Linked DNA regions of Neurospora crassa OR74A. The protein of the gene in region 1 binds, or shares a complex with, the protein of each later gene. Links are inferred from orthologs where the notes say so. Each region holds a gene or a part of one and is shown on either strand. Other genes may lie near its edges. The genes, in order: NCU05587 and NCU06491.

Region 1 (4,532 bases):
GCCGGAACTAAAGCAGATCACGCCCGTAGTCGCCCAAATAGACGCGAGGAACGGATTCGGCTTCCCCGCCGCGCACCTGGGCATGGACACCGCCATCAAAATGGCGGGCGTCTATGGCATTGGAATGGTAAGCGTCAAGCATAGCAATCATTTTGGCATGTCCGCTTGGATTGTGAAGCAAGCGGTGGATGCGGACATGATGAGTCTGGTTTTTACCAATTCGTCGCCTGCGCTGCCCGTGTGGGGTTCCAAGGAGAAGATGATGGGTGTAAGCCCCATCGCCTGTGGAGCGCCGGGTGGGAAGGGCGAGGGGTCGAAGCCGTTCATCTTGGACATGGCCCCGTCGGTCGCAGCGAGGGGCAAGATCTATAAGGCGCTGAGGAGGGGAGAGAAGATACCGACTGACTGGGCTTTGGATGGGGAGGGCAAGCAAACTGATGATCCGGCCAAGGCGCTGGAAGGCGTGATGCTGCCTATGGGTGGGCCAAAGGGGTCGGCGCTGGCGATCATGATGGATGTCTTCTCCGGCGTGCTTTCGGGTTCTGCGTTTGCTGGAGGCGTCACGGGGCCGTATGATATGTCCAAGCCGGGGGACGTTGGCCACTTCTTCGTGGCCATCAAGCCTGACTTGTTCATGAGCCTGGACGAGTTCAGGGAACGCATGGATATCCTATACCAGAAAGCGGTGAACTCGGAGAAGATGCATGGCGTCGACAGAATTTACTTCCCGGGCGAGATTGAGCAGCTGAACGAGGAGCAGAGATTGAAAGATGGCATACCATATGCCAAGGCAGAGATTGATGCTCTGAATGCAGAGGCTGAAAAGCTAGGCTTGGGCAAGATCCGATTGATAGAGTAGAGCTTCATATATATTGGGTTATTTGCACCTTTGGAGGTGAAATGGGCCAAATTCTTCGTCTGAGCCAAGTTTGTTTAAAATAAAGAAGCTGCAGGCGATCACAACAAACCACTGATGAGGACGATGGTGTGATTTGGTCTCTTTCCGAGGGTTAGCGTTGATCCTTTTTTCAAACCATTTTGAAAACTTTACCAAAGGCAGCATCATGGGTATCACAAGGGTGGCAAGTAGCTCGCCCTCAGAAACTCTGATACCTGCTTTTCCGTGTAGAGCTGTAGGTAGCTGAGATCAGTTGCGCGGTTTTGCCCCAGTGCATCTCAATCAAGATCAACACCCAGTCTATACACCCAGCCCATCGAGACAGAGTCTTGGTGTTCTGGCATGGCACGGCAGGGTTTCGGATTGAACGGCGCTTTTCAGACAGAGTGTATGGCACTCAACGTCCAGAGACAGGCAAGAAGCAAAGCGTACTAGCCCACCCTGCTCATTTTTGTCTGGGTAGTATCCAGCCGGGCACTCAATCAAGCAGCATAGGGAGCCGCTTGGCAATCGCTTTATGGGCTAATGAACCCTGGAAAGCTTCAAAAATGGCAATAATAGACTCCAAGCAAATGCTCAGGGGTCGAGTCCGAGCCCAGCAGCAAATTTTCTTGCCACCCAAGCAGCTCCATGTTCCTCATACTCTTGCTTGGTGACCTCGAGCTTACTGGCATGTTCATGCTTGGCGAAATTGGCAGCTCCCAACCAGGTGCTGATGATAGGGTCTTCCGGGCGGGCAACTCTGACCCTGCATTCATCGGGGAATCGCTTGAGAATCTCTGTTTGCAAGCGCTGACAGAACCCTTCAGAGAGACTGTTTCCTCCCACAACTACGATATTAGCCAGAAGGCCAGGCCACAGTCCAATTGGCACAGCCAAGAGGGACTGCTTGACTAGGTCGGCGATGCCAGGTTGCCGGATGCCGATATCAGAAGGGTTGAAGAGGAGCTCTGGAACAACAAAACGCTCGTTCCGTAGCGTCAGGACGTCCTCTGTGGATACAATGCCCTTGCGGGCGCGCGCCGAGACACCAGGCTCGTAGTCGCGGACAACACCGTGGAAGCGCGTGTGGGAGTCGGGCAGAACGTAGTCTTTGGCGATGCCAGCACCGCTCAAGTAGTCCTCCCTCTTTTCGCCGCGCGTCCCTTTCCAAGTCTTTTCCAGGTCTCCCTTGAAGTCCAGGGAGGTGTAACAGACTGCTTCTTTCATCTCGTTCACAATGTATGGTTCGTTGCGCATGTCGAAGTGGCGGACGGACAGTAACCTGGTGAGATAATTGGTCATGAGCTTGCCACCCACATCAAGTCTTCGTATGGCCGGATGTAGCGGTCGGCCTTGGAGGATAGGCGTAACGGTGGTGTGAGAGTAACCCGAGTCGATGAGCAGGATGACTTGGGCTGGACTGTCTATGGTGGATTGGGGTGTTCGGAAGATGGATTGTATGTCCCGGTACGCGTTGAAGACAGGACCTAGAAAACAAGGTCAGCACCCTTTCCCTAACAGCTCTCTAGGAGGCGACATACCCAGGCCACGGTAGTAACTCGCAAAGCCATACTCCTCAAAGACGATCTGGTCACAGTGTGTTTGGAGAGAAGGCAATGAATTTGGTTGCTCTGTGAGAATGAGCCTGGTGTCTGATGGGTCGCATTTCTGCGCAGCTTTATCGTCGAAGAACTCGCGATCCCAGATCTCTTTCTGGGCCTCCCAGTTGACGATAAAGCCCTTTTCGACGGGGCGCCTGAAGGCCAATTCGCTGAAGTCCTTGCATTTTTCGAGTTCCGAGCCGACATAGATCTTCCTGTGACGGTCTCGAGCGAGGCAATTCGGAATGATGCGAGGCTTGCCGTCGCTCTTGTCATCGGAGACGAATCCAGCCTTGATGGTGTCGGCGCCGTTGTCGAGAACCAGGGTTGTCGTGGGGGGTGCCGGCCCTGCCGCCCGGGACTTTTTAGCCCCTCCTCGTCCGGTCATGACAGTACTGAAACAACAGCTGCTGACAATTGAATCCCTCTCGCGCCCCGGCCCTCGTAGCTTGAAGTGCGTGGGAGAGTCGCGTCGCGGTTGTTGTCGCAAGAACCGTCAATTGTTTGGGTTTCCACTTGCATCGACGACGGGACCTGCTGATAAGGGGAACGATAAGGGTTGTCAGTGCCACCCGGACCTCGACGGGCTGGGGTTCTCTTGCTTGGCATTTCATCATTTCCGCCGCCGCAAGTGTACACTAAAGACTCGCTGACCTGACAGCGCCGGAGAGTGAGAACGGAACCTGCCGGCGCCTGCCACTGCGGCAGCGGGCACAACACACCGGAGACACACACACACAGCGCAGCCTAGGGCCTTGTGGAAATCTCGACTGGGACCGGGCAGCCCTGCCTTCCGTCATCCATCACTTCACTTCCACTGTTGAGAGCACACTCCCGCTCCCGTCACGGCAACTGAACTCTGCAACCCGACCACTACAAATCCCATCAATGTTGCCCCACTCAACTTTTACCTCTGACTTTTAAAAAAAAATTAAATGACAAGGTGAACATTTCCACCTCTCAGCGTATTTTGCCCCCCTTGTGGAATCAACCTCATCCTCTTGTGCTCCGATACCGAGCACTCACTCGATGCGCTTTATCGTGGTCAGTATCGCATAAACCCATAACTGCTAGTTTTAGCATGTCACAACGATACCAGAACGGCGGTGGCGGCGGCGGCGGTCGACGTCGTGGTAACGACCCTCGGGACGACCGCAATGGCTATCAACAACGCGCGCCGAATGGCCCTCATGGTCTCCCTGCCCGACCTCCCCAGCCGACATCGTACCGTCCCTCCGACAACTACTCCAACCGCAACAACGGTGGCGGTGGCGGTGGAAGAGATCGCGACAATTACCGGCCTCCTCAGGGTGATTTCTCGTTTAGAGTAGAGAAGCCGCCGGGAGTCAGCAATTCGAGCTACGACAACTACCGTCCCAACGACAACAGGCAGTCCTACAATGGCCGCAGAGCCCACTCTCCCAGAGGCGATCGTCGCCACGGAAGACCCAGTGGCCGTGGACGAGGCCGCAACGCTGGCCCCCACGGAGGTTTTAGGAAACCGTGGCGTCCTTTTGTTGCGGCTGAGCGCGAGCTATTGAGCGGTACCCATGAGTCTGGAAATGAAGAGGCCCTCTACAATCCCGAGACGGGCGTGCTCTACCGGAATGTCGACGAACTGTCCGACAGTGATGAGGCCGAGATGGACATCTCTGGAGATGAGGCTGCTGAAGATGCCGAGCCGTCGACCAAGCGTGCTCGCACTGCGCTTGATCAGTCGACCAGCGCCAACAACACCCCCAAGTGGTCCAACCCCGACCCCTACACTGCACTCCCTCCCGAGGGTGCTCGGGAGCGCAAGACCAAGGATGTTGTGCAGATGATCAGAAAGGCTCGTGTGCAAACCGCTGCCGAAACAAAGACCGCGCTCCCCAACGACCTGGACGAGATCATCATGTTTAATTCCGATAGCGACAGTGACATCGAGATCATCCAGGAGGCGAAGCCCACTGGCAAAGCAGCGCGTGATTCCCTTTCTCTTGTTCCCGTTGCGGCCGCAAGCGAGGATTTGAGGGCTAAGCAGCCCTCCAAGAAGTCTGAGGTTAGGCAGC
Region 2 (4,153 bases), on another chromosome or scaffold:
GTCAGGAGCAAAAAAAAGTGTTGAAACGACACCTCGGTCGGACGTTGAGATCATCAAGTTGCCTAACAGCCCCACTGTTTCTTGGCGTGCATTTCAGGGTCCAGGCGGTTGCGGGAGCTGTGACGCTACCCCGGATTGTTACAGTGTACTTGCAAATTGAAAGATAAATTGCCGGCCATTGAGGTTCTTTTTTGCAGTTTCATCATCCCATATCTCCAACTTCTTTATGTTGACTTTGACATAAGCTGTCCTACTAGAAAATCGTACAATAACGCACAACGTCCGCAAAATATCATGCCGCCGCCTGTACACCCTGTGATGCTCCCGGGCCGGCCGCCTTCTTCAAAGCCTCCAACCTCGCCAGCTCCTCCTGCTTCATCCTCTCCTGGATCCTGACTCTCTCCGGGACAATCTGTTCTCTTGGCCTGGTAATCTTCCAGCCTTCCAGGCGGTCTTTTCCAAGAGCCCGCAACGTCACCTGCTCGACGAGTGAATAGTTGCCGTCCTCCCTATCAAAGTTGAACGGCTGCTTCAGCGCTACTGGCGGGTTGGTAATGATGCGGACGTTCCTCTTCGCGTTGCTGGAGGCCGAGTGCAGCATCAGCGGATGAAGTAAGTACACGTCTCCGACCTTGCCTGTTGCCTCGACAAACTGGGTGCAACCCTTGGCCGTGTTGTTGAACCAGTTGAGATGCTGCTCTTGCTTGAACTCGGCATCGCTGCGGGGTGCCATACGTGGCGAGACACCCTCGGGATGCTCGTACAGGTGTTTGGCGAGGATAGGGATTGCCTCCGGACAGATCATGGTCCCGCCGCCCTCGGGCATGATATCGGTGAAGAGAGGAATGACGAGCAGGCCCTGCTCCGGGCTGTCAAGGTAGTGGACGAAGAAGTCACCATCGACGTGCCAATTGTCCAGCTTTTGCGGGGGGACTGGTTTCCCTTCTTTCTGTGGTGTGCCCAGGTTGACGATAAGGGAGTCCTTCCACTTCTTCGACCAGTTCGCGATCTTATCCTCGCCGCCGCAAAGCTCGCTGATGGCTGCCCAGGCACGAGGGGCAAAGTCTGCAGCGTCGAACTCCATATGTGAGGGCATGTTGACACGTTCTTTGTTCCAGGTGGACTTGTCGTTTGGATCCATTCCTAGTCTCGTCCAAACATTGGCGATGATTTCCTGTGCTCTCTGCTGCGTGAAGGCAGCCGGGATCCTGGCATGGTCAGTACCTCGAACGAGGTTGAACAGCTGGTATGGTGGCATGACACCTACTTGACCCAGCCATGAGTGAGGAAGTGTTCCTTCTCTTCAAGACTCAGAGCAGATGACGACGACATGTTCAGTGTGATGTTGCCTTTGGGACACATCCTGTAGAAAGTAGCGTAAAGAACAAGGCTATAGACTGGAACGGGGCCGACAAGCTATCTCTACCCTTATATACTCTTTTCAAGATCCCGCCAGAAACTAACCCAGGCTAATCAATCCGACTGTCACGACAACTCCGGACTCCGAATGGAATGCCGCCTCACACTGCGCCACGAGGCAGCTAGGTAATCCATCCTTGCTCCGTAGGCGCCCTAGGCTACGTGTAACCGGCGGGGTGGTTTTTGGTTTAACCAGAAATACCCTATTGGATATCGCCAGGTTTATTGGAGAGTACGGCATCACCAGTTTTCCATTTTCGTGATAGCGGCCTTTCTGAACCTGAACATCATGTCCCAGTGGTGTGGTTGACAACATCCCGTCGTCAGGGGCAGATCCAGCTTGTCATCGGATGATAGTAACGGAACTCTAAAAAGGTTCCCGGTTGCGGGGCGTTTTCAGCGGGACATCAAGGAAGGTGTGGGCGTGATGCGGGGGAGCTTGAGCCGAACAGCGGCGACATGACGGCAAGCTGCCCTATTGGCTGCTAACAGAGCGTTTGTGTTTCCACTGTCACGCTGCAGTCGATCGGACAAAGACATGGATCCCGTCCTTGTTCCCTTCATCACTTTTCCACTTTAATATTCCGGCCCACGATACTTGGAAGAGGTACCATTCTTGGAACGACGACACACACGGCAACGAGAATTTTACGCGAATAGCTTGAGGAAGACCAGACTGTTATATTCGCGAGATACCAAGATGGCGCCAACACTAGAGCTTCTTGCAGAAGACTACGCGTCAGAGGAAGACTCCGACTTCGCCCCAGAAACTGCCGAAGCCGCGGGAGAATCATCAATATCCGACGATGACGACGAAGAAGCCGGTGAAGATGCCGAGAAAGCGAAACCCGAGAAGAGGAAACGCGCTGCCATCGAGGAGGCGGAAGACGCTGGTTATGACAATTCTGGAGATGAAGCTATAATAAAGAAGGGGGAGAAACGTCAAAAGAAAACAAAGACAAAACTTGCTGCCGACGATGAGGAAACTGGCGAGGGCGGTCTCATCAAGACGCGCAGCCAACGCGCTGTTGAGTATGTTCTCACATCAACCCTCTTCTCTTTGGGTCCTGGGCATTAACGACAATGGCAGAAAGGAGAAACGTTCAACAGCCGCCGCCAGCGGACCTGTTACAATCGACGTCGATGCCCTTTGGGCGCAAATGATCAGCGAGCCGGTCATACCACGAACAAGTACAGCGAAACCAGACGAAAGCGCCGATCCAGCGAACTGTGACATCGCGAAATCGTCATCCCAGCAGCCAGAAACAGCCAAGGCGAAAGATCCCGATTCCGACCTCATAAAGATCAAGAGAACCTACAACTTCGCCGGCAAAGTCCACACTGAAGAAAAGCTCGTTGCCCGCGATTCTGCCGAAGCAAAACTCTATCTCGCCTCTCTCGGAGAGAACGCTCCAGCGGACGGCGAAACAGCCGCCGAGGACGAGTCCTCCTCTGCCAAGCGCATGCCCCGAAAAGCTTTCCGGTCCGTCTTCGAGCCCATCACCGACGCCAACTCGGCGCATCGTTCCGACCTCAACCTGAGCATGGCCTCCCGCCTGCAGGCTCGCGAAGCCACGGGCAACAAGGCCAAGAAGCTCAACACGGTCGAGAAGAGCAAGATGGACTGGGCGGTGGCGGTCGACAAGATGGGCCTCAAAGACGAGCTCGAGCTGGCCGGCAAGTCCAAGGACTCGTTTGCGGCGAGGCAGGATTTCTTGGCCAGGAGCGAGATGCGCAGGGAGGAGGAGGCGAGGAGGGCGAGGATGGCGCAGGCGGGGAAGACGTGAGCGTGTCACGATCTCCAGTCAATCCATTGGTCGCTTGCCTATTATTGTTGTATGGATGGCGTCTCCCTTACCACTACAAGTTTGGAAGGACAGCACTATGCAACACCATTTCATTTCTTACGTTCGCCAAATAGAGATACCCCAGTTTTCAATATCGGAACTTTCCAACGCGTTGAAGACACCAAGCAAAACACGACTTGCATGAACTCAGGGTCACAGTCACATATCAATTCCTTGCAATTCCTGGTCACATTGCAAAGGAACATGCATTTCTCATCCAGAAATCATTTGGCAAGTTGTACCCATGCACCACGCTGTCTGACTCATGATCCCAACTTCTCAATGCAGTTATCATCAACCAATCATCAACTGGCGTGGTGGCGGAGTGGTCTAACGCGCAAGACTAGAAATCTTGTTCCTTCGGGAGCGTCTGTTCGAATCAGGCCCACGTCGAAGTGATTTTTTTTTCCAATTTCTTTTTTTTTTTTTGGACGATTTTATTGTTGAATGGCTCCATAACACCAGTCTGGGGTACCTAGCCACTGGCAGTGGATGCCGACGACAACGCTTTTTGGTCCTTTGTTCACAATGATTTCCCAATGTATCTTGGGAGCTTATTCGATTATTTGGGGGGTTGGTTTCCGCTGATTCAGTACTAGATCAACGACCTCTCCTCCAAGTTGAGAATGTCTAGAAACTCAACAACGGAAGATTATCTACGTCTGACTTCCTGTCTTCAACAGGTAGTTCAACCATCCAAGGTTGTTGGGTACCTCTACCTATGTACACACGCCTTAAAAGCCCTTTTGAGATCTGAAAATAACCTTGAAGGTAGACTTGCTTGAGAGGTTCTACCTTACCCCCCTTCTTACCGACCAGTAGTCGAAGCTGATGCTAATAAGAAGGGGAAAAAAAGGTAACTGAAGGATGGTAAAAGGTGGTAGCGG

The links.
Region 2: NCU05587 (region 1) and NCU06491 share a complex: the UniProt entries of both Saccharomyces cerevisiae proteins name them as parts of the SWR1 chromatin remodeling complex. The link is inferred for Neurospora crassa OR74A from reciprocal best matches to the Saccharomyces cerevisiae genes ARP6 and SWC5.

The regions. Positions count from the first base shown.
Region 1 is NC_026506.1:1,416,360-1,420,891, reverse strand, and holds the start of NCU05587 (actin-like protein arp-6), read right to left. Parts: upstream 2,969-4,532; 5' UTR 2,870-2,968; coding exon 2,422-2,869; intron 2,368-2,421; coding exon 1,475-2,367; 3' UTR 1,052-1,474; exon of another isoform or gene 1,000-1,051; 3' UTR 860-999; coding exon of another isoform or gene 1-859. Other genes in the region: NCU05586 (malate/L-lactate dehydrogenase), read left to right, coding at 1-859; NCU05588 (topoisomerase TRF4), read left to right, coding at 3,563-4,532. UniProt on the Saccharomyces cerevisiae protein: Component of the SWR1 complex which mediates the ATP-dependent exchange of histone H2A for the H2A variant HZT1 leading to transcriptional regulation of selected genes by chromatin remodeling. Involved in chromosome stability.
Region 2 is NC_026503.1:1,607,869-1,612,021, forward strand, and holds NCU06491 (SWR1-complex protein 5), read left to right. Parts: upstream 1-1,699; 5' UTR 1,700-2,119; coding exon 2,120-2,451; intron 2,452-2,509; coding exon 2,510-3,206; 3' UTR 3,207-3,567; downstream 3,568-4,153. Other genes in the region: NCU06490 (hypothetical protein), read right to left, coding at 293-1,208, 1,268-1,362. UniProt on the Saccharomyces cerevisiae protein: Component of the SWR1 complex which mediates the ATP-dependent exchange of histone H2A for the H2A variant HZT1 leading to transcriptional regulation of selected genes by chromatin remodeling. Involved in chromosome stability.